Ovis aries: one gene and its partners. The protein of the gene in region 3 purifies or fractionates together with the protein of the main gene of each other region. This does not show direct contact. Links are inferred from orthologs where the notes say so. Each region holds a gene or a part of one and is shown on either strand. Other genes may lie near its edges.

Region 1 (8,524 bases), on a different chromosome or scaffold from region 3:
CTTGAAGTTCAAGGGACTCTCAAGAGTCTTCTCCAACACCACAGTTCAGAAGCATCAATTCTTCGGTGCTCAGACTTCTTTATGGTCCAACTGTCACAGTCATATATAACTACTGGAAAAGCCATAGCTTTGACTAGACAGACCTTTGTCGGAATGTCTCTGCTTTTTAATATACTGTCTAGGTTTGTTATAGCTTTTCTTCTAAGGAGCAGATGTCTCATAATTTCATGGCTGCAGTCACCATCTGCAGTGATTATGGAACCCAAGAAAATAAAAGTCTCTCACTGTTTCCCCATCTATTTGCCATGGAGTGATGGAACTGGATACCATGATCTTAGTTTTTGGAATGTTGAGTTTTAAGCCAGCTTTTTCACTCTCCTCTTTCACCTTCGCCAAGAGGCTCTTTAGTTCCTCTTACACTTTCTGCCGTAAGGGCGTGTCATTGGCATATCTGAGGTGATTGACTTTCTCTCGGCAATCTTGATTCCAGCTTGTGATTCAGTATTTTGCCTAATGTACTCTGCATATAAGTTAAATAAGCAGGGTGACAAATATACAGCCTTGACATAATCCTTTCCCAATTTTGAACCAGTCTGTTGTTCCATGTCCGGTTCTAATTGTTGCATTTTGACTTTCTGAGATCTCAATATTCTTCCAAGAAATCCCCTTTAGTTTAAGTTAGCTGGGGTCATTCTATGTGTTTAATTAATATAGTAACTAAGAGAAGTAGTAACCTAATATTCCTTTAATATTGGAAGGAAGTGTTAAAGGAAAAATACACAGGAGATGGAAAATGTTATTTCCTTTGAAAAGTCTAATAAAATAACTGTTTTCCCTACCCAAACATTTCTCAGTGTAATCAAGCCCAGTTCATTTAGTTAATGCCTGAATGCAAACACTGTACTTAGCCTTAGCTAAATAATGATTTGTAAAGAGCCTTTGTTCTGAGGTTTTTGAGTCTTCCCTAGACCCACTGATCCCTGATTAAGAACCAAGAATGCTCATATATTAGGCAACTGCTTACCCAGTGCCTACCACATTTTGTACATAATGTTCAGCACTGCAGATATAATCGAGAATAAGACATACAACGAGAGTCTCTTTTCGTAAAGACTATATACTAATCTTAGGAAGCCTATTTTATTCCTTCTATATATATATTACAATTTCTACAGGGAGAATCTAATTTTTCTTTGGAATAGTTCTAGACTCAGAGGAGAAGTTACTTCTAGTTACACATTCTTAATAACTGAATTAGATTAAAAACAGTATGGAAGTTTTATGGAGTTCAAGTCCTTTACAAGTAAAATATTCTCAGTATTTTCTCATATCAGTTAACTAAAGGATGATTTTTGGCCCATTCTTCCCTGTTGGCACAAATAAATAATGCTGCTGTGTTGCCACACCTATTTTGGAAGTGGAGAGTCAAAATGGATATTCATCAAAATAAATGATTTTCATAATCTGGAAGCAAAAAGAATGAGTTCTGTTCTGAACATTGCCCAGACATTGTTAGCATCAATCAAGTTGGACATCAGGGGGCCAACTATATTTAGGAGTTGGCCTGAATGAATGTACTAGATGCTAGTTAAAGAGTCCAATTTTTCTTAGCCATAGATTCAGAATTTTGCTGTTAACAGACAATGTTAGTGACTCATCCAATAGAATCAGACTGAAAAGACTGCACGCTTATAAGCTTTACAGAAATGAAGATGGAAAATCCATGGCAAGAAATATTTATATGTTAAGATTACAAATAAGGTAAAAGCAAAATAAAAAAAGATCAATCATCAGACTCATCATTTATTTTGTGTATGAAACAATACTTAGGGTACTCCAATGCTATATGGGAAATATACAGCATTAAATAACAATTACATGTTGAGAAGAATAATTACTGCTCAATTTTCTTCTAATATTTTTTTCATATCAAGAAGAAAGTTTCAGTTTGGTGGTTATATGCCTGTAACACCTCATGAACATTTTCTAGCTTTCTCTTTAATAAAAGTGGGCCTGGATTTGCTGGGTTTTGTGAACCTATACTATGGCAGCTCAAATAATGTTTCCACCAGTGATTGTCAAGCATTAGATCTTAAAATTGCTTTACATTCTTAAAAATTATTTAAGACCCTGAATAGCTTATAATTATGTGGATTATAAATATCAATTCGTAATATATTAATTAAACCTAAGAAAATTTTAAATACCATTTGCTTTTTAAAATGATAATAAATCCACTACAGATTAACATAGCTTTTTGTGAAAAATATAGTCAAAAAGAAAACCAACAAAGGTGAAAAATGGCACAGATTTAGGTTTTTTTTTTTTCAAATCTTGTTAATGTCTGGCTTAAATAGAGAGAACGAGATAGAAAATGAAGAGAGAGAAATTAGAAAAATAGGAAACTGCTAGATTTTCATATCTGCTTCAGCCTTCAATCATTTGCTATGCGTTGTCTAGTTGAAGGATGTGAAGAAAATCCAGGTACAGTAGATGTGAGCTTGGAAAATGGAGGTACATTTTAATAGCTTTTCAGATTCTGGTGTTAACATTTTTTTTTTGATAGAACACCAAAACGCGACAAGAGTTAGTTTCTTATGAGTTAGCTGCACTGCGGAATTTGAAACTATTATCAATAAACTTCTTGGGTCCTATAAACTTATAGTGAAGTCACTCAGTCATATCTGACTCTTTGCGACCCCATGGACTGTAGCCTACCAGGCTCCTCCGTCCATGGGATTTTCCCGACATGAATACTGGAGTGGGTTGCCATTTCCTTCTCCAGGAGATCTTCCCAACTCAGGGATTGAACCCCGGTCTCCGGCATTGTAGGCAGATGCTTTACTGTCTAAGCCACCAGGGAAGTCATAAACTTATAAGGGAATGTATTATTTTGAAAATAGTTTCAATATTGCAGATACCTGAACAGGTCTCAGAGAACCCTACCACCCTCCAGGGTTCCCTGTTACGCTGTGCTTTTTCAGTTAGTTATTTAAGCCAAGGAATGTTCGCTTAAATAATGTTTTTCACTCACAAAATAATAAACAGATATGTTTAAAAGGAAACTTTAAGTAAATCCATTTAAAGAAATATATGAAATGGTTGAAGGTAGGCAGTTATAGGGGAGAAAAAAAGTGAAATAATTTGGAAAACAAACCAGTACCTTCCCACACAACTACCTCTACCGCAGTAAATAGGAGGGAACTACCTAGAGCTTCCTTAGCTCTTCTCTCGGCTTCTTCTAACAGCGAGTTCTTAGCTCTGCATTTCAACGCTTCAGAGGTGGTCCCCAACTCAATTAAAGAGGCTTTATCATGACTTTTCCAAATCGGTCTCATTACATATTTGGCATGTTATAATACCATGATTCATGCCATAATATAACTTTACTTCTGTAACAATAGAACGTATCAAGTGGAAGTTACTTACGACAATATAAAATATCACCAATTGACCTATATAATTCCTTTTCTACTTGATAAGGCATTAAAGGGAGTAGAAAAATAAGTGATAGTCATTTACTTATTCATAACCTGGTACAATGTAAGGACCTGATTTAATCAAAAGGCTGATCACAGATTTGGACACAAACATCATGGAAAAAAATTCAAACGAAGCAAATGATGGATTGTACAATCAGTGATGATTATTATATATCGTGGGACATCACTTTATTCTCCTAGGTTAGTTTTATCCTAGGTAAAGTTAAAGACGTGGTTTAAGTGTCCATATTTGTAACAAATCTGAAATTTAACTAATTCTCTAACATTCTATATTAAGAATAAGCTCAAAAAACTATTCATTTGTAACTTTAAGCTTCTGAATGACTTAGAATTATTTACAGATGAATTCATTTTAGAAAAGCTTTTTGGAAGTTTAAAAAAAGTAAGTCTATCCATTTACTAATCCAAATTTTGTAAAGTTAAAACATATATAGTTGTTAAGATATTAAACATACTCTCCAATATTATAACGGGATCATATTTATGACTTTTTTCCCTTTGCTGCACAGGTATCAGTTTTCCACCTTATCAAGAAATTGGTAATATTTCACACCATATTATTTCAGTTCAGTCGCTCAGACTCTTTGCGACCCCATGGACTGCAGCACGCCATGCCTCCCTGTCCATCACCAACTCCCGGAGTTTACTCAAACTCATGTCCATTATTTAGTGTCATGCAAAATGAATGCTAGATGTTTCTAATGGGGACTCTAACAATGATTGAACCTACGCAGTTGTCAGTTTCCAGGTTCAGAAAAGGTGGAAAGCAAGAAACTTCATAAGGTACAACCGATGGTGGCAAGTTAAAAGTCAACAGCAGGAAACTGCTGTTAAAAGAACTTCTTTTTTCCATTTTATAAATCATCCTTAAAGATCATTCTGCATTACTATCAATTTACTCAAATAAATATTGATATAGAGGTTCGGTGCTAATTGATAGTTTACACATGAAAAGGGAGGCAGCACGAACTTGGCGGTCTGAACACTCCCAAAGGTACCACAGGCTTTCAAGACAGTCCTCGTCACAATCTCACTCAGCAGGCACCGTGACTGAGGGGGTGGGAGGAGGTCGGCAGACAAGCGCGCCTCAGGCCTGCCGGGGAGGCTCGCGGAGGCTTCGCCTCACCTGACCGTCCTGACGACGAAGTACACCAGCACCGCGCCGCTCACCACCATCAGCACGGTCAGGGCCCGCTGGGTCATGGGCTTGTCGCCGGGGTCGGGGCTCACGGCCAGGACGCCGCCCGCCGGGCCCCCGGCCCCCGCCTTCCCGCCAGGGTCGTCGGCGGCCGGCCCCGCCCCGGGCGTGCTGCCATTGCCGCCCTCGGCTCCCCGCGAGCCCGCGGCTTCCAAGGCCGGAGCGCGGCCCGCGGGCCGGGCGGCGGAGGGCCCGGGCGGCGGAGGCGGCCGGGTGCGCGGCCCGCGCGCCGCGGGCTGGGGGTCGGGCGCGGCCCGCGCTGCCGGCGGCCGTCCCGCGGAGGGCCCGCTCAATTCGGGCAGCAGCAGGGACAGCAGGAGCGCCGAGGCCAGGGCGCGGCTGAGGCAGCAGCTGCAGAGCGTCGGCTGCATGGTCCGCGGCCGGCTCCCTCACCGCGCGCGAGCTCCGGCGCCCGCCGCCCTGGCTCCAGGCGGGACCATGGGCGTGTTAACTGAAGAGACGGGGGAGAAACGCTGACTGAGGCCCGGGCGAAGACCTGGCCCGCCGCAGGTGGCGGAGGCGGCAGCTGCAGCTGCTGTCGACAACCGGAAGTTCGTACATCTCAGCAGCCCCCTGCTACTAGGGACGCTCCCGGTTGCTAACCTTCCGGGGCTGGCGCGTTCCGTGACGTCAGGCGCGTGAGACCGTTTGCGCCCCGCGCACTTCCGGAAGTCGAGGGGAGGGAGCCTGCGGTTTGCTCCCTAGAAGGAAAGCAAACGGGAAGAGAGTTGTGTCAAGTGTGCAGCAACGCTTTGCGGGAAGAATCCAGGAGAGAGTGGAAGCTTGTAATATGAGTTCGTTGGTGCAAAACTGAAGAAATACAACCAGTTACTTATTAAAGACTGCCTTGGCGTTTCCCTCAGCTCAGGTACATATTTTACTAGACTGGGTTGTTAGGTCACTAGAAAAAAAGTAAACAGTTGTGTCAAGTGTGCAGCAACTCTTTGCAGGAAGAAACCAGGAGAGATTGGAAGTTCATCTTTTGAGTTCGTTGGTGCAAAAGTGCAGAAACACGGCCAATCATTTATTAAAGACCACCTTGACGTTTCCCTCAGCTCAGGTACACATTTTACTAGACAGGGAGGTTGGCGCACTAGAAAGAAAGGAAAAAGTTGTGTCAAGTGTGCAACTCTTTGCAGGAAGAAACCGGGAAAGAGTGGAAGCTCATACTTTGAGTTTTTTGGTGCAAAACTGCATAAATACAGCTAATCATTTATTAAAGACCGCCTTGACGTTTCCCTCAGCTCAGGTACACATTTTATCAGGTATTTTTTTCCTGCCTCTGGGTCCTTGACCTCCCTTTCCTTAGAGCGTTACGTTAGAAAACTGTTAACTGTAGCAATAATTGGTACAGGTATTGGTAACTGGTAATTGATTCTCTGCATTTTGGGGATATAAATCTTTTTAAAAGTTCTTTCCCGTGTTACAACCCAGGGCTGTCTTTCTTGAACTAGGAGTCATCCTTTTAAAATGGCAGAAAAGGAGACAGCACCCGTAACTCCCAGTCTCCTTGGAAGCATAGAAGCCTAAGTTAGGCAGGCGCTTTGTTTCAAGTTGTAAAACTGCCTCCCGTCACGAAGCTTAGAGAAATTTTACTTTTCCTTTGTGAAGGCTTCCCTAGTAGCTCAGATGGTAAAGCATCCGCCTGCAGTGCAGGAGACCCGGATTCAACCCCTGCGTTGGGAAAATCCCCTGAAGAAGGAAATGGCAACCCACCCAAGTATCATTGCCTGGAAAATCCCATGGACAGAGGAGCCTGGTGGGCTACAGTGCATGAGGTCAAAAAGAGTCGGAATTTCCTTTGGGTAAACAGAACTGACCTGAGAGTTTTCCTACTCTTAAAATATCTTAAGCTTTCTGTTGAATTGAGTTCAGACAGAGTCCTGGCCCCTCTTTTCTGTTGTGATCGTCTTGAATAAGTCTCTGCCTGTTTAACTTTGACATCAGTAATATGGAACTTTGGGGTGACCAGATTATAAACAAAAACAACAGACCAGAAATTGAAGTTAGGATCTGTTCTTTTAAAAACTTCCTCATTCAACAAATTTTTTAGACTTTCTACTCCTTCAGAACTGTATTTGAGTATTGAACAGTAGACAAGATATCATCCTTGCTCTCATAGCCCCTTAGGGTCAGATGGAAATAACATAATAGTAACATTCATTCTTATTTTGAAGTGCATGTTAAAAATGACAAGTACAGAGTCTGTAGTAAAAATTGTGTAAAGGACTATTGTAGGTAAGGTGGTCAGTATAGTGTCTTCTAGCTGCTGGTGGGTAATAGACTCATGCAGACCCATGTGGAATTGCCAGGACTAGGCATCTTAATGCTGGGTTCCAGTGTGAGAAAGACCATTGGTGACACACACTAATTTTAGTTTCCAACCTGGACATTTATCAATAATGAAGTGGCTCCTTGGGTTTCTTCTCTCCCTTATCCACAATCTTATTCAGAGCCTTACATGGAAGGTTAGTATTTAATGCTACTCCTTTCCACTCCTCAAAATATCCAATATTCAACACCAAAAAATAAAACAAAAGCACCATCTTTCCTTCCTTACAATGTCTCGTTTTACCATTGTCTTCCTCATCTTGATTAATGCCATTATTCTTTACTCAGGTGTTCAGATGTAAAATCTTGGAGTCATCATTTATCCTTAGCTTTCCACCTGCAACATGCTTACTGGTTATGGCAATGTATTAAATAATTCTGAAATAGCAGAGTTAAACTAATGATTGCAAATGATTAGAGCATTCTAATCATTCTAGTGTTTCTGCAGCTAGCTACTTGAATCAGAATCAGAAATGGAATTTGTTAAAAATGTTGATTCTAGATCACTATTCTAGATTCTGTATACATTTTACTAAGCTCTCAGGGTAATTTTTATTTGCACTAACATTTAAGAATCTCTCCATTCCCTTACCACCTATATCTAAATGTTATCAACTTTTCCCCATTTCCCTAATGTCCCTATCATTAATCAACTCTTTTCTGTTCCCTGCTTCTGACAAAGAATTATTTTTAAATTGCTTGAGATCTTAAGCAGGTAGAGAAGCTGCAAATTATTGTGATTTTTGCATAATACTGTATTATTTGTAAACTGTCATGAAACATATTTTTAATTCCATCACAGGAACTAGGAACCAGTTTCCTGGGAGAAAATATTGTATTTTGCTTGTATAATATAAAATGACAATTTGGGGCACACATGCCTATTTAAAAGACAGAATGCCCAACTAATTGGTGTTTTTGAATTTTTTCTCTTAATAATAATCCTACTTGTTCATTTACATGTTTTTGTCTTGCAAACAAGTTGTATCAATCGGGAGAGATTTAAAAACATAAAAGAGAAGAAAAGTTATACTTACTTAAATTAATCTGCATACTAGGAAAAGACCCCTATTATTCTGATTTATCAGGGAACACCCCAGCTGACAGAACAGCAGTCTTCCATGGAAGTGTGTAAAATACCACTGGCCTATTAAGTAAAATCTAACCCTCCCTCCCTGGTCCCATATTAAATAATAATATTGCATATTAATTATCTGTTGTGTACCAGATCTCATGAAATGCTAAACAATTCTGCCATTATTGTTCCTAATTTACAATTAAGAAACCACGATAAAGGATAATCAAGTTGGTGAAAATCAACGTGAGTAAAAGCAATAGAGCTGGGCAATAAACTCAGGCACTGTAGCCTCAGAGGTCAATATTGCCTCTTACATTTTGTCTTCTCCTAGTTGTAGGCTTCCATGATTTGAGTCTAGCTTATTGTCTCAATCAGCTATTGTTAGAATAATGCTGCATAACCACTATTGAAAAC
Region 2 (8,182 bases), on a different chromosome or scaffold from region 3:
CTGTGCCCACAGAGATGACAAACACAGTCACCAAAGAGGAAAGCCAGGCCCAACACCCTCAGAGCAGCTGGTGCAGGAACTGCTGCTACGACAGCAGCGGGAGGACGACCAGAACCCTAAAACGGATCCTGTGTCTTCGGCACGCGGGTCTCCCAGGAAAGGGACTCTTGGGCTGTGAGGGCCCTTACCAGTCCTGTGGCCTCAGTGTGGTCCCCAGGTCCTACAGACAGGTCTCAACAGGATCCAGGCCGGGAGTCCAATAAGAAGAAATTGCGTCCTTTCAATTCAAACATTTTGGCAAAAGGAATTGGGGATTCTCCCTCCCCACCCTCTATCTTGTGTGGTACCTACACAAATTAAATATAACATCATTTTCGGTCATTTAGGCAAATCATAATTCCCACAGTTCTGAAATGCACACATTATAAATAAAATATAAACCTATTCAGACTGAACTGAAGCCTCTACTCTCAGGGAACAGTGCTGGAAAAGTCATCATCTATATTCCCTTCTGCTAGGTAAGCAGGGATCCCTGTGCAGGCTCTAAGGTTACCAGGGGAACTACTCCAGACAGGGGTAGCCCCTCAATTAGCCATAAATCTTACAACTTTGTTCAAAAGAACTCCCTTAAAGCCATTTATCTGCTTCTAGAAATGAAACTATCATCAACGTACCCAAGGGTCCACACACCTTATAAATCATTTCACCCAAATTTATTTATTTAAATAAATCCCAAACATAGCAGGGCTTGTGAGATCTTAGTTCCTGGACCAGGGATCAAACCCATGCCCTTGGTATGGAAAGCACAAAATCTTAAACCACTGGGAATTCCCTCACTCAAATTTAACACACAAAATAACTAAGGTCCAGAGATACAAGTTTTTGTCCATGCTCACTGAGCAGTACCCCACCGATAGGATAAAAAACTCCAGCTTGGGAACACTCTTGCCTAAAACTTCCATGGTTTCAAATAGGAGACCTTGTAAAGGAGTACACCTATCCTAAAAATACCCACAATGGACAGTCTTTTAAAAATATGTCTGTAAAGTGAAATTCCGTGTAACACCTTAGTATCCTGCCCCCCTCTCCATGCCTAATAGAGACTTCACATATGGAAAACCAAACCAATCACAAATGTTCTTCCCGGCTGTGAGGCCCGAAGACTGAAGGCCAGCTGTGTCTGCTCCACCTCCTGCTTTGGCTGCTGTCCAGAGCTAGCGAGCATCAGTGTAGATTCAAGTAGATATCCTCAAATCCACTGCCTTGCCCATAAAGCACAGCATGGAGAAAATCACAGACCCTGCCACCTCGCAAACAGCCATTTACTGATGAAGTCAGTATCTCTCCTTCTTTAGTTTGACAGATTCCATAACCAGTTTTGCACATCAAAATTTATGACACATGGGCTGACAGCAGGACAGAATATTAAAAATCAGGACCTCCCCCAGAAATCTGGGCCATCCGGTTGCCATGCCGACACCCCACAATGCCAAACAAGTGTCTCCAAGGTCCAGAAACAACTTGGCTGGCTTCGGATCACCCAGACACTGTGAAGCCAGAGCTGCCTCCTGGCCCAGGCTGTTATGCAGACCCTCCCTTTCTCAGCTCAGCTCTCTGATCCCTCAGGGGAGGGATGATGACGCCTGTCTGAATTTCCTTAGCCTCTGTCAGCAGAGCTGGCTGCATCATTCCCTAAGAATCTGAAAATCCACGTGCGGCACATTCTGGCCCAACTAGACAGGGACATGTTTTGAAATGGCAAGAAGACCAGTGAGAGGTTAACCATGGATTTCAGACAGAAAGCAAATCTTCAGCTGCACCTGCCCCTTTTAAGCTGAACAAAGGGTTTATCTCCTGGAGAAGCTGAACATACATTCCTCTAGCTCTCTAGTTAAGAGTCAGGCTGGAGCTGGAATAAAGTATTAGTGGGATATGACACTTGGATCATTGATGGCTCCCAGAGATGAGCAGAAATCGTTCTTCACTCATTTAACAGTACTTCTTAAGTCTTGCTGTGCTCATCAAGGTGGGGTTGCATGAAGCTTCCTGCACAGTCCCTGAGTGATAGCTGCCACTCAATGAAGAGACAGGCCGATAGCTGAGAATCCCAATGAAGTGAAATACCCCAGAATATGGGAATGCAAGGCTGTGTCAAAGGCAGGGTGTGACTGGGGATCAACGCCCAGGGAACAGACATCCTGGGCTTAAAGCCTAAGAACAGCGAGGGAGCGGGCTATGCCTGGAGTGGCCGGAGAAGGCTCTGCTGCTCACTGCCGGGAACTTCCACTCTCCCTCTCTTCCTGCACCTCCGTTCCTGGCTCCCCGCTTCTTCTTCATACTTGAAACCCAGCTTCCAGTTCACAGTCCTCTTCTAATCTGCCGCAAGTCCGACCACAAGGGAACAAGGAGAGGACGTTCACTGCAGCTCCCATGACCTCCAATTGCTACCCCCTCAAAATGAGTGCCACCCACATTCAGCAGCGGCCCCCAAGCCCCCGGCACCCTCCGGGGCTCTCAGTCTGAGTGGCCTGGCCCGGATTTTGAAGCGCCGGCACCTGTGATGAGACCAGCCTGGAGCTCTGAGCAGCAGTTAGCTTCTCTGTGCCCTTCCCTTCCATTCCCCCTCATCCCCTCCCCCTCTTCCTCGAGCTCAGACCCTCCTCCCATCACGTCACCACAGAAAAGGACAGAGCATTTGGGCAGTCTGCGTCTCCCCTGCCACTCCAGGCCCGCCTACTCTGGGCCAGAGCTGGCCCTCTTGGAGAGCAGGAACGCAGCAGCTTGGATGAGTCCTTGCTGTGGAAGCTCCCCGGGGTCGGTCAGGGGCCGCTCCTGGTTTGCCCAGTTCTGACTCTGATCTATCTGTCCACCCAGATCCCAACTCTCCAGGATCTTGACCCCGGAGGCTTTTTGCCTCATCAGCCTGTCTGTCCAAACGTCCACAAGTGCTTTGAAAACGTTGTGCTAGTGGTAGGCACCGTCAGCTCAGAGCAGAGCGTTTCACCTAATCAGGGCGCAGTCCCAGAGAGCTCCACCAGAGGGGTAGATGGGCATGGGGGAGTGGGGCTGGGGGAAAGCCCAGGGGCCCCAAAGTCTCCTCAGGCACAGCCTGGAAATGCTCTTTTGCAGGGGATAGCTACTTCTTTCCTGGTAGGTAACAAGACACGGAATCAGGGACAGGATGGGAACACGAGAGCCTTCCACACAACGACAACCTCCCTACAGACAACACTCCGTTTTCCTGGGATTCGGCTGCCTTGGCACGAAGACCTCAGATTCTCCTCCACACAAGCCTTCGCCCTCCTGACCCTGCGCCTCCCTGGGGGGCTCCTCAAGGCCAGGCCTTTCGGAATGGCCATGCTCAGCCCCACACTCCGCTCCCCCAGGCGGCCCCGCCCCTTAGCCCAGACCCGAGGGTCGCCCAAGGGTCTCGCCCACCATCCGCCCCCATACGAAGGACGCGGCCCGCCCGAGCGCGCCTGCCGCGGGTCCCGGAACCTCCCGTCTCAACAGGTGCCCCTGCCACACACAGCTGTCACCCGGGGCCCTGGAGGAGGCAGTGACAGGCACGCCCCAGTCCAGGCCCCCAGAGCGTCGGGAGGGCACTCTTGCACCTCCATCGAGCCCCAGCCATGCCCCGCCGTTCGCACTGACGTCGGGGGGCCAGACACTGCTAGTTCACCCGTGGCGGTGGACTGGTGTTGGGGCGAGGGACGCCTTCAGGACGAGACCTTTCCTGGATCCAGAGAACCCTGGGGGTAGTCGTAGGGAGTCCTCATCACAAGCAGGTTCAAGTTGACCGGGTCTGAGAAGGGGGCTCGAAGTCCAGCACAGCCCCTAGTGACCGTGCCTTACCCAGCGTCCTCACCCCACGTCTTTTGCCCCCAAGAGGCTGGAGAGGGGGAGAACACGGCCACCCACGCGCTTAGCAGCGTGCGGTTCTCACTGCCGCTCGCCGTGCGCAAGGTCCAGCTGCCTTCCCGGACGCATGAGGCGGGGGTAACCCCTAACCCCCAACTCCCGGCCCCTGCGCCCCGGGCCCCGCGGCGCAGTGCCGAGAGCGCCGCCACGTTCCCAGTCGTGTGCGCACGCCGGGCCCACCAAACTTGCAGTACTTTCTCCCAGCCCCCACCCGCTGTCACCCTCCCTCCATCCCTGCGCCCTGGCCCCGCTAGCCCGACTGAGGTTGCCATAACAACGGACAGGAATGCTCCAACGTATACAAAGCCGGCGGAGCGCAGCGGGCACGCAGCCCCCGGCCCGGCCCCGCGCCCTCTGCAGCCGCGCGGGGCTAGGACGCGCGCCGCGGCTCCCCGGCCGCCCACCCCGCGCGCAGCGCGTACTCACAATGAGCGGGATGGTGCGGTCCTCTCGGAGCTGCTCTGGCCTCCCGCCCGCCCTCTTTGCGCCCCGGCCGCCGGAGGATGCTGCGTGGGCTCGGTTGTCCTGCCATAAGTAGTAGAAAGTGCCCAGGATCCAGGCTACGGTCAGAATGGCGATGGCATTGGCGCGGATCTTCCTCATGGTGGGCGGGCGGACGCCCGGAGTAGGGGCCCGGGCCGGCGTGCTCTCGGGGCCGGGGCGGGGGCCACTCTCAGCCCCAGCTGTTTGTTTTCGCTCGCGCGGGGCTGCTCGGTCCTGCAGAGCAGAAAAAGGAGAGAGGTGGGGGGTGGGGGGGTGATAGGGAGAGACAGGAGCGCGGAGCGATCCTCACGGTCCTAATGCCCTTCAGCCCCAGGCGCGCGCCTCCCCCGGGCGCCCATTCATTCGCTCGCAGAGCCGGCCCCGCGCTCCAGCCCCGGCGGGTTGCCGGGCCGTTGCGCCCCGGGAAAGGAGCGCAGCGGATGCGAAGCGGCGCGAGAAGAAGGCCCGGCGAGGCAGACGCCCGCGGCGGAATGGCGACGGGCCAGAGCCAGTCTCGACTCCAACTGCTCCGCGACCGAGCTCCCGGCGCCTGCCCCCGCGCGGCCCGGGTCTGTCCCGCCTACCTCCACCCACTCCCGGACCGAGCGGCCCTGAGTCACCGGCTGGAGATGCGCGACCCCGGCCGGGGCCCGCGCAGCGGAGCTGCAGTTCTGGGGCTGCGCTCTGAACAGGGTTTAAGATGTGTTCGGCGAGTCCTTGGGAAGGGGCAGCTGGGTGCGAGGAGAGTCTGGAGTTTGCATCGGGATCCTCCGCAGCCTAGGATGCCGAGCCGCCAGAGGGCCCGCCCCGAGGAGGGATTGGAAGCCGGTGCACTTGACATTCGAAGAGAGCGAAAGGGAAGAGACGCGGCTTCGCAGCCAGTGAAAGGAGATTGTGGGTACAACCACCTCACCTCTTCCGTTCGCCTGGGGCTCCCAGCGTTCACGATGCTTCCCTCCACCCCGCCTCGTTGTCCGCTGGACAACTCGGGGGTATCGTCGTCACCGTTTCATCAGGAAGAAGGGAGGAGGCCAGAGAGGCTGGAAGATTCGCCCGAGGCCACACGACTAATTAGTGGCAGAGCCCATTCTAGAAACTACCTCTCCGTCTGACACTTAAAGCAAAGTTCAAAACACTGACACAGAAACCAGTGAGATTCTGCCCCGGCTCTGTGTGAACTACTCTCACTTACGAGCAGACAGCAAGGTGGGCTAAGTTAGTTCTAGGAGACCAGCGCAGGATCAGGCATGAAACAGACACTCAGGGAATAGATATTAGATACTAAATAGATATTAACTTAACTAACCAAGCAGAGGTCACAGAGGAAGAAATACTGTACCGCAAGGCAGTCTTAAGGAAAGGCTTCTCAAAGAAAGTGGATAAATTCTTCGAATAAAGTCTTAAGAGGTAGGAAAGGGGAGGACAGGGCAGGGTGTGAGCGCCATGAACAGCCTGAGAAAACGTCCAGAGGATGAAAGTACTTGATGCTTTCAAAGAAGAGAGGTACCTGGTGGTGCTGGGTACCAGGATCTGGAAAGTTCTTGGTGGGAGTTGAGGTTGGCCAGGCTGAGGCAGTCTGGACCCAGGAGGCCCTTGCATGTGAGAGGCAGGGTTGTCAAGGAGTTTGTGTCCTCCTGGTGCTCCTGGACACTGGCTGGTCTGAAAGACCACCTCGGGTCCTGGCCTCTAAATGAAGCTGGCAGATGGTGAGGTCACAGCTCATGCTTTATCCTGCCACCTCCATCAGCACCCCTCCGTCCCTGTTTCTCCAGCAGCAGGACTGAAATGTGCATGTAGTAGACGCTCCATACATTTCCACTGGAGTGAAGTAAATTGAAGGAAGAAAACCTGAGTGGGTTTTCTGGCTGCAGAAAAGTCATCGTTATAACTGCAATATCCTTTCCTCACTCTGAAGTCTCACCACGAGGACAAATCCAAACATGACCCTTGCAAGAATGTGACCCTAAGAAGGGTCATGGACAAAAAAGGATCTCACCAAGAGCTCTGTAAGAGTAGCAGGGAATCTGAGGCAAGAGGAGATGGTAACAGGAGCAATAGGAGAAGGTGCGGGGATTCCTGCCAGCCTTGCTGTCCCCCGTCTGCCTTGCCTGGAGAGTTTAATTAGACTGCAGCAGGGACCAGGATTCATTTCCACAGACCAAGAAAACCACTGTCCAGCCACTCTCTGGTTTCTGCATGAATCATGGGGCAGATCCAGGGGTCATGTTCTGTCTGGGAAGCCAGGGAGACCTTGCTCCTTAGGAATCAGGCCCCACAGGCATCTCCAGACAAGGAGAAAATGTAAGGGAACTGCCATCCTGGTGTCCCCACCTCCATACAGGCTCTCAGGTCAGCCAGATGGGAAGACTCGGAGAATGGCCCTCTGTTGCTGTAGGCTGCTCCCTCCATCAGCCTGGTTTTTGCATGTCTAGTTGCCTTTGGTCATGAAGAACCGGGTAAGAGGATGTGGAATCCAAAGACATCCCTTCAGCATGGGGGATGAAGCTGGATCAGGCCAAACCAAAATCAGGCTGATGGGTTTCTGATGGCTCCAGAAGGAGGGCTCCATGAGGGGAGGGAGGGAAGGAGGATCTGGAATTTGTCAGGATTTCTGTGAGTCTCACCCCTTATTCCCCAGGGCTCAGTGGGGAGGATGCCATACATCTGCCCCAAATTGTCACTGCCTGGTAACTCTGTCCCAAAGACAAACTTCCCCACTCAGGTCAGTTCAGTTCAGTTGCTCAGTCATGTTTGACTCTTTGTGACACCATGGACTGCAGCACGCCAGGCCTCCGTGTCCATCACCAACTCCCGGAGCTTACTCAAACCCATGCCCATTGAGTCAGTGATGCCATCCAACCATCTCATCCTCTGTTGTCCCCTTCTCCCGCCTTCAATCTTTCCCAGCATCAGGGTCTTTTCAAATGAGTCAGCTCTTCGCATCAGGTAGCCAAAGTATTGGAGTTTCAGCTTCAGCATCAGTCCTTCCAATGAATATTCAGGACTGATTTCCTTTAGGATGGACTGGTTGGATCTCCTTGCAGTCCAAGGGATTCTCAAGAGTCTTCTCCAACACCACAGTTCAAAAACATCAATTCTTCGGCACTCAGCTTTCTTTGTAGTCCAACTCTCACATCCATACATGACTACTAGGAAAACCATAGCCTTGACTAGACAGACCTTTGTTGGCAAAGTAATGTCTCTGCTTTTAATATGCTGTCTAGGTTGGTCCCCACTCACTCCTCACCAAAAAAGAAAAAAACCACAGGAGTGTAGCCTCTCTGGGGGGTGTTAGACTTCACAGGCAGCCCCTCTTTAAAAATAAGCACAGGAAACTTCCCTTGGGGGTGGGGGGTGGGGCTAAGGGGGCAAGTGATTTCACGCTCATTTGACCCCCAGAAATTTGATATAGACAGAGGTTGAGTGAAGAGTTGTTAGTCACAGGCACACTGGAAGAGTTGGGAACGCGCAGCTGCCACCGTGGCTACAGCGCATGGTCATTCTTCCAGATTCTAATCCCAAATAGACACAGAACTGAGGCTCAGCCCTCCCTGAGATGGATTTCAGTGTTCAGACCGGGAGCATTGTTTCCTCTCTGGGCCTAGCTAGGAATGACTCCGGCAGAACTGTAGAAGCAAAGCAACACCTAAGAGACTTCGTGGTGCCTAGCAGTAGCAGCAGCAGCGGCAGCAGTGAACTTTGAAACCAACAACGGTTATAATAATAGCTACAGTTCGCTGAGTTCCTAGCAGGTGCCAGCTGTCAGGCCAGGATCTCA
Region 3 (7,750 bases):
AGTGCATGCCTGAAGCAGGAGAGCCAGGTTTGGTCCGTGGTCAGGGAACTAGATTCTACATGCTGTAGCTAAGGATCCTGCATGCTGAAATTAGGACCTGGCACAGCCAAATAAATGAATTAATTTTAAAATTAATTAATTTAAGAAAAATACTAGGGGTGAGTGTGACCAGATCTTTCCACGGGGGCAAACCCACTTTGGTCCGGTTTGTGCCTGGGGGTCCCACGTAAGATATCATCTCAATCCATACTGAATAGCAAGCACCAGGAAAACAATCAAAATAGCTGACTGTTTTGGGGCAAAATCTTGACTTCTACCCAAAGGGAAAAAGCCAAGAGGGAAATGAGAGGGAAACAGAGGCTGAAAATAAAAGGAGGCCAATCAGCCTATATGATCATAGGATAGACATTCCTAAGATCAGGATAGAAATACTTGAGGAAAATACTTCTCGTCTAGAGGAAAGGCTGAGCCTAAAAAGTAATTAGACACTTGGTCTTTCAACACACTTCATGTCTATACACACACAGATATATGTATATAAACAGACAAACCCACACACATATAAGGTTTTCCCAAGTGGTGCAGTGGTAAAAAACCCACCTGCCAATGCGGGAGACACACGTTTGATCCTCGGTTGGGAAGATCCCCTGGAAGGCATGGCAACGCACTCCAGTGATCTTGCTTGGGAAATCCCATGGGCAGAGGAGCCTGGGGGGCTACAGTCCATGGGGCCACAAAGAGTCGGACACCACTGAGTGCCTGAGCACACACATACACATATACATACATGTGTGTGTGCGTGAGTGTGTGCGTATACTGGAATACATAATGTATTGAAATTTCCCTTCTTTAAAAATGACCCCCAAAAATCTTCATTGCACAAGCAAAAGAATTTCAAGTTACCCACCGAGGGATAAACTCGGTTTGGCTGTGGCCTTTTCTCCCACAGACTGAAGCCAGAAGATAACGGTATTCACAAGGGCTTCAAGGAGAAATATGTGCCCCTGGCAAGCTCTGCCCAGAGCAGCCTTCCCTCCTGTGTTGGGGTAACAGGGTGACATTATGAACTCTGCAAGGACTCACGTAATATATCACCCGGGGCTGATCCCTGAACAAGGTTATCACTCAAACTTGAGCTTCAAAACTACAAAAGATGAATCAGAACATTTCAGAATCCAAGACTGAAGGAGCGAGGGGACTTCTCTGGAGGCCCAGTGGTTTAGAATCCACCTGCCGGTGCAGGTGGGGGTGTTCATCCCGGTCAGGGTACGAAGATCCCACACGCCTCGGGGCAACTAAGCCTGTGTGCCAGAAACTACTGCAACCCAGACCCAGCACAACCAGAAACGAAGTTAAATAAATACTTTCAAAAAAAGATTGAAGGAATCAGGAGCATTATTAATGCTAATAACAGCTTCCACTTTCACATGCTCAGACGGCTCAAATACTGTATATACTGTGTATATACACATATAATCTTATTTATTTATCAAAATTAGTGTAGTTCACTTTGTAAAGAATAGCCCAGTCATCTCAGTCATAGCATTATCTCCACTTTATAGACGAGAACACTGAGATTCAGAGAGCTCAAGCCATTTGTCAAGATAAACTATCCCTGGTGGCTCAGATGGTAAAGCATCTGTCTACAATGTGGGGAGACCCGGGTTCGATCCCTGGGTCAGGAAGATCCCCTGGAGAAGGAAATGGCACCCCACTCCAGTACTCTTGCCTGGAAAATCCCATGGACTGAGGAGCCTGGTAGGCTACAGTCCATGGGGTGGCAAAGAGTCGGACACGACTGAGCGACTTCACTTCACTTCACTTCAGAGATGGAATTCTAAAATGTAACACAAGGGATTCCCCAGCATCCCTCAATTTGGCTTTTAATATCTTCTGTATGTTTATCTGTCTTTTCTAGTTATTCTATATAAAACACATTATTTTTAAAATAGAACACCAACAAGTTTTTTTTTTCCCAATGAAAATAAATCCAAAGACATGAAACAAATTAGTTCAAAATGCTAAAAAGGAAAGATCGCAATGCAATCGGGAGGAACCTCTGTATTCTAAGTCAGTCACTAAAGGGATGTGCCTGTAAGCTTAAATCATACATAACACAGGACTTTTCTGATGGCCCTCTGCAGCTTCCTCTGCAGGGAGTACAGGTTATTAATCTGCCTGGCCCATCTTTGGGAACCCTGCGTCTCAGGTGATGAGCATCCTGACCAGGCTCACCTGTGAATGACTGCAAGGAGGAGGAAGGGACACATCCCCCCGGAGGCTGACCAGAACCAGGAAACAAATGCTCTCCCTTACTCTCTCCCCTTTCAGTATAAAAGAAGCCTGAATTCTAACTCAGGCAAGATGGTTCTTTGGGACATGAGTCCACCATCCTCCTGGTTTGCTGGCTTCCCGAATAAAGTTGCTATTCCTTGTCCCAACAGCTCACCTCTTGATTTATTGACCTGCCGTACAGTGAACCTGGACTGAATTCAATACTTTAACAGAGCATCAGGGGGACCTGCCTGGTAGTCCGGTGGTTAAGAACTTGCCCTTCAGTGCAGACGATATGGGTTTCATCCCTTAGCCCGCGTGCCACAACTAAGACCCAGTGCAGCCAGAAATAAACAAACATTTTTTAAAAATTTAAAGCTTTAAGAAAAGCCAGAGATATTCCATGTTTAAGAGAAGCAACAGCTAATGAATCTGTGCCCAAATAACTTGGTATCAAATATGCGAAGAAAGGAACTCAGAGGTGGACGCTAGAGTGAAATTGTCTGCAGTAACTGGAACAGGAAGTTGGAACATACGATGGCCAATCCGGAGCCAGCAACCCGAAAGAGAAACTCAGGAAAGATTGGCGCTCCCTCCCCGACAGCCCCCTGGAGCAGGGGTCCCCAGCCTCCGGCCAGAGACGGGCACCTGCCGTCAGATCAGCGCAGCCCTAGATTAGACATGAAGTGCACCAGGAACGCGGCGCACTGGAATCATCCGCAGACCATCCCCACAGCGCCGGTCCACGGAAGAACGGTCTTCCGCTAAACCGGTCCCAGGTGCCGAGAAGGCTGGGGACCACTGGAGAAAGGACCCGCACCACGGCTGCCCAAGCCCCTCTTCAAGTCGCCGAGCCGACAGAGATGCGCCCCCTGCGGACGCTCGCGCGGGCTCTCACCTGGGATGTTGTGGATGGTGATGGCCAGGATGAGCAGCGCGATCCGCCTCCAGCTGCTGCCGCCGGGCTGCGCCGCACTGCCCCGAGGCGGCCCGGGGGCGGCGGGGCCCTCCGCGAGGTCGGCGGCCACGGCCCTCTTCCTCTGATACGCCTCGCCGTTCTCACTCTTGTCTGAGCAGAAAGAGAGGGACATAAAGAGAGAGCCGTTAGAAAGAAGGCACGTCAGGATTCGGACAAGCAGCGGCGAGGGGGAGCTTGCGCTACCGGACGAGGTCTATTTCCTAACTTCCTAATGCAGCCATCTGGTCCTCCACGCCTTCATTCATTACTCTGTTCTTAGGGTCAGATTATCCCAAATACTCATGGTTTCCCAAATGCCCAGATTATCCCAAATATCCATGGGTGATTTATCTGATTCCTAATGGAGGCAAACTGCCCGGCTCTGAAATACGGGAGAGCAAGACGGAGACAGAGAATACAGGCTGCGGTTCGCAGCCCCTTACCTATCAGGGAGGCTTCCTGGGGAGGAGGGTCTTGATCAAATCTTAAACCCGCAGTGGCACAAATGGAAAGGAGAGTCTCTCCATCATCTGAGCCTGCAGACCCTGACACGGATGACGCAGACAGGCCATCAGGTCCCGTCGTTGGGACGTCCACCGTGAGCAGGAAGGCCCAACAGCCCAGTTTTAATCGAACCCGAGTCCCCTGCACTGGCAGGCGGATTCTTACCCACTGCTCCACCGGGGGAGGCTAGGACCATCTTTCTTGCCTCCGATATTAGATCGTCTTTGTGTGCGTATGCACAGGTGTGTGCTTCTCAGCACACCTCGTTTTTGTTTTTTTTTTTTAATTGTTGACAATACCTGATAACTCAGGCTACAGAGACTTGTCCTGGAACTGAACAAAACACGTGGGCTTTTAAGTCCATAAACACCAAAGACACAAGCAACCAGACCTGAGTGCAGGGCAAAGAGGAAGCTATGCAGTGATGGGGGGCACTCAGCTGTCTCTGGGGCCGGTCAGTGGACACCCCGGACGCCCAGACTCCCCTCTGAACACACAGCCCCAACAGGGATGCTCTCTGGTGGGAGTTGATAGAGACAAAATAAAACAAATAACTCTTCCCTTTTGGATTTTCATAACTTCAGGAAGGACAGATGGTTGGACACAGACCACGCCCTCGAATCAAAGGGACAGAAGTGCACTGTCCCAAACAAGCACGGGGGGCCCACGCTCATTCCTGTCCCCGTCACAGAAGGATCCGACTCTGGGTCTCCTGCAAGGGACGCACAGACAGCAGTGGAGCCGGGGGCCTCGTGAGCAAATTCCAGCACCAAACACGTGTGTGACAGGAACGTTGAGAGGTGTAAAGTCTGATGAACCGAGACGAGGATGCACCGAGACGAGGATGCGCGCCTCGCCTCGGGGTCCTCGCCGAAGTGTGAGCGCGGCTGTGGCTGCCTCTCGCTGGTGGGAAACGGCAGGGTGCAAGCGCCTGATGTGCTGGGAAAGGTAAATAAGCCAGCATTTGATAACAGCCACTAATGAGCCTGCAACGAGGAACATTAGTCCAGATAAATCATCGCCGAGAGGAGGGGTGCGTCCCCAGCTGTGAATGTTCTCGCCTCTCCTGGGAAGGCTGGTTAAATCTTCACACTCTGTCTAGTAAGATGCCAGCACCGCGGATGAAGGGTGACCCCTTAACAGAGGCAACAGCTGAGCCCAGCGTGGGATTAGGGGTCGACCCGTGAGATTTCCTGGGAGAGGAGAGGTCTGGGCACTTTTCAAGGAGGATTCGGCAAAGGGGAAGGACGTTTTGCGGAAGAAACAGCCAATGTCGGGTTTAGGAATGAAAAACCTCACCAGTGACATGGTGGGTAATACTAAACACTTAGTCTCAACAAATCCTCCTTCCTTCCAAAAGCCCCATGAGGTAGAGACGATCCCCTTCAACAAACGAGGAACTTAAAGAACGGAGAGGTAGAGCACCTGGTTCCAAGTCACAGTCCTGAATTCCGAGTCCCGAGTCCATCTTGGGTGCAGGAGTCGAGCTGGGTCCTTTGCCTCCAGAAGCCACCTCTTAACCAGGGCCCTGCGGTTGACTGGGAGCCGGGGGTGGCGTGGTGACCTACCCCTTTGCTCGCAAGAGTGTGTGTTAGTCGCTCAGTCATGTCCGACTCTTTGCGACCCCATGGACCGCAGCCCGCCCCCAGGCTCCTCTGTCCCTGGGATTCTCCAGCCAAGAATACTGGAGTGGGTTGCCATTCCCTTCTTCAGGGGATCTTCCCGACCCAGGGATCGAACCTGGGTCTCTGGCATTGCAGGCAGATTCTTTACCATCTGAGGCACCAGGGAAGCCCCAAAGCATAGCAAAGCCAGTCACCGCAGTGACATTTAGGAACTTGAAATCCAAGACACTTAAGTTCAAAGAGACCCAGTGAGCCTGCATCATCAGCGGCAGAAAAGGCTCCGTGGAAACCCCTTTTCTATAATCACTCCCGCTGGTCAACAAACCCGAAACCGTGAAGACACTATTTGTTAACCCGTTAGATCTACTGTTTTAAGTATAAAGCCGCTGTCGGTAGGATATATTTATTAACACCAAGCCAGGGACACTGGGTTACAATCCTTTAAGGAAGGTGGAAAGGCTTCAAAGTTGCCCATCATCAAAACCCATTGTTTTAAAAATTTAAACTCAAGCATCTACGCATCCACACTGAGAAGGGGCCCGCCCAAAGCCGGGGCTCAGCCTGCCTCCCCGCTCTTCATCCTTCCGGGGGAGGCACCCCATTGCTAAATGTGGGAATGAGGACCACAGGGAACAGACAGACCAGACCAAGGCTCCTTTTCCAGCTGAATCACGAGGTGACTTTATTACACACACTTTGTCCCCTGCTTTCTTCTCCCCCAAACAAGGGACGTGATGCTTGGACCAACACACCGTACTGTACAGCAAAAAAACAGAGCTGGGTCTGGTGGGCACAAGCTGGGGAAGTTGCGGGGAGAGGAGATAAGCCCCCTCCCCTCGGGGTGTGACCTCCTCCCCCGTGAAAGGGCCTGATGTCCTCAGATCACAGGCTCTGAATCACTTTCCACCACCGATGCTTTAGAAACTAAGGTGGGACTTCCTATCGCCTTTCCAGTTAAAAAAAAAAAAAAATACAAGGATGATTTTGGAACAATGAGTCCTTACGGATTCAAGGCCCTCAGACAGATTTCATCTTGCTAGATAAATGCCACGGTAACCTTCATTTCGTCCCCCATGGGCCCAGACTCAGCAGGGACAGGATGTTTGCCGCCTCTGTGATGATGTAACCGACCAAATCCATCAATAATAGGCCCAGAGATGGACGTTCGGCCACCAGAGAATAAAAGGAACACTAATTAATAGATCAACAGCCACAAGAGCTTTAGGAATGTCCCTAAGATATTACTGGAGATGATCTGGTTGAATTAGCACAAGTAGGCAAATTCTCATCCGCTAAACACAGAAAGCTTCAGGTCCCTGGAAGAAACTCCTTCTCCCTAAATCCTTGCTGTGCTATGCCTGTGTTCAGTCATGTCCGACTCAGCAACACTGTGGCCTGTAGCCAGCCAGGCTCCGCTGTGCACGGGGTTTTCCAGGCAATAACACTGGAGTGCTCTGCCATTTCCTCCTCCAGAGGATCTTCCCCACCCAGGGACTGAACCGCGTCTCCTGCATTGGCAGGTGGATTCTTTACCGCTGAGCCACCGGAGAAGCCCTCTTGGGTTATCCATTTTAAATACAGCAGTGTGTACGTGGCTTACACATCATAGTAAACAGTTTCATATTCCACCTGTTTCATTTAAAACCTCAGAAATATTTCCTAAATGCCGTAGCCTCTGGGACTCTAGTTTTTAATGGCTGCAGGGCATTTTTGTTTAGTCCCAAGTCTATCCTTTTCCTTTTTTATTTAAGTTTGAGTCATTGCTCTTTGTTCCCCGGATGTTAAAAGGCGCAGTGCTTCCCCCTCGCCACATGGGGGCGTACTCCTCCAGCTCCCTTCCATCCACCCCAGGAAAGTTCCTCCTTCACTGCAGGCACTAACTCTCTTTTCCAGCTTCACGGTTCATACATACCCCTGGATCACGTTAAAGGGCTGGCCTACCCCAGGAGGCAGAGCAAGTGAGGAATAGCTCCTACTGCTGGGACTTCCCTGGCGGTCCAGTGGTTAACACCCCGGCTTCCAATGCAAGGGGCCCAGGGTTCAATCCCTGGTCAGGGAACTGGATCCCACACGCTGCAACTAAGACCTGGTTCAGCCAAATAAATAAATAAATAAATAATATTTAAAAACAACAACAACAACTCCTACTGCAAACGGTGGGAGGTGGGGAATCTCCGTGCAGAAGATCCTTAAACATCCCGGTGCTTACTCGCTTGCTCATAAATTACTCCTGGCCAACAACTGGTTTCCTGAAATTGAACTGCAACAGAGATGCGGTGTGCACATGCCTTCCACAAATGCAAATGCAAGAGAGACGCATTTGAAAATAAACCAGAGAAGATTCCTTTCACTGACCCAGGGCTCCCTCTCCATCTTTCCGTAAGTACCA

Evidence for each region.
Region 1: the proteins of SLC39A11 (region 3) and FAM174A purify together in Homo sapiens (co-immunoprecipitation; 3 studies listed by BioGRID and IntAct, counting the BioPlex papers as one, with this or other methods). This does not show direct contact. The link is inferred for Ovis aries from reciprocal best matches to the Homo sapiens genes SLC39A11 and FAM174A.
Region 2: the proteins of SLC39A11 (region 3) and GALNT16 purify together in Homo sapiens (co-immunoprecipitation; 3 studies listed by BioGRID and IntAct, counting the BioPlex papers as one, with this or other methods). This does not show direct contact. The link is inferred for Ovis aries from reciprocal best matches to the Homo sapiens genes SLC39A11 and GALNT16.

What each region holds. Positions count from the first base shown.
Region 1 is NC_056058.1:97,363,263-97,371,786, reverse strand, and holds the start of FAM174A (membrane protein FAM174A), read right to left. Parts: upstream 5,266-8,524; 5' UTR 5,073-5,265; coding exon 4,630-5,072; intron 1-4,629.
Region 2 is NC_056060.1:79,143,296-79,151,477, reverse strand, and holds the start of GALNT16 (polypeptide N-acetylgalactosaminyltransferase 16), read right to left. Parts: upstream 4,898-8,182; 5' UTR 4,525-4,897; coding exon 4,348-4,524; intron 1-4,347. UniProt on the Homo sapiens protein: Catalyzes the initial reaction in O-linked oligosaccharide biosynthesis, the transfer of an N-acetyl-D-galactosamine residue to a serine or threonine residue on the protein receptor.
Region 3 is NC_056064.1:57,583,691-57,591,440, reverse strand, and holds part of SLC39A11 (zinc transporter ZIP11), read right to left. Parts: intron 3,344-7,750; coding exon 3,173-3,343; intron 1-3,172. UniProt on the Homo sapiens protein: Zinc importer that regulates cytosolic zinc concentrations either via zinc influx from the extracellular compartment or efflux from intracellular organelles such as Golgi apparatus. May transport copper ions as well.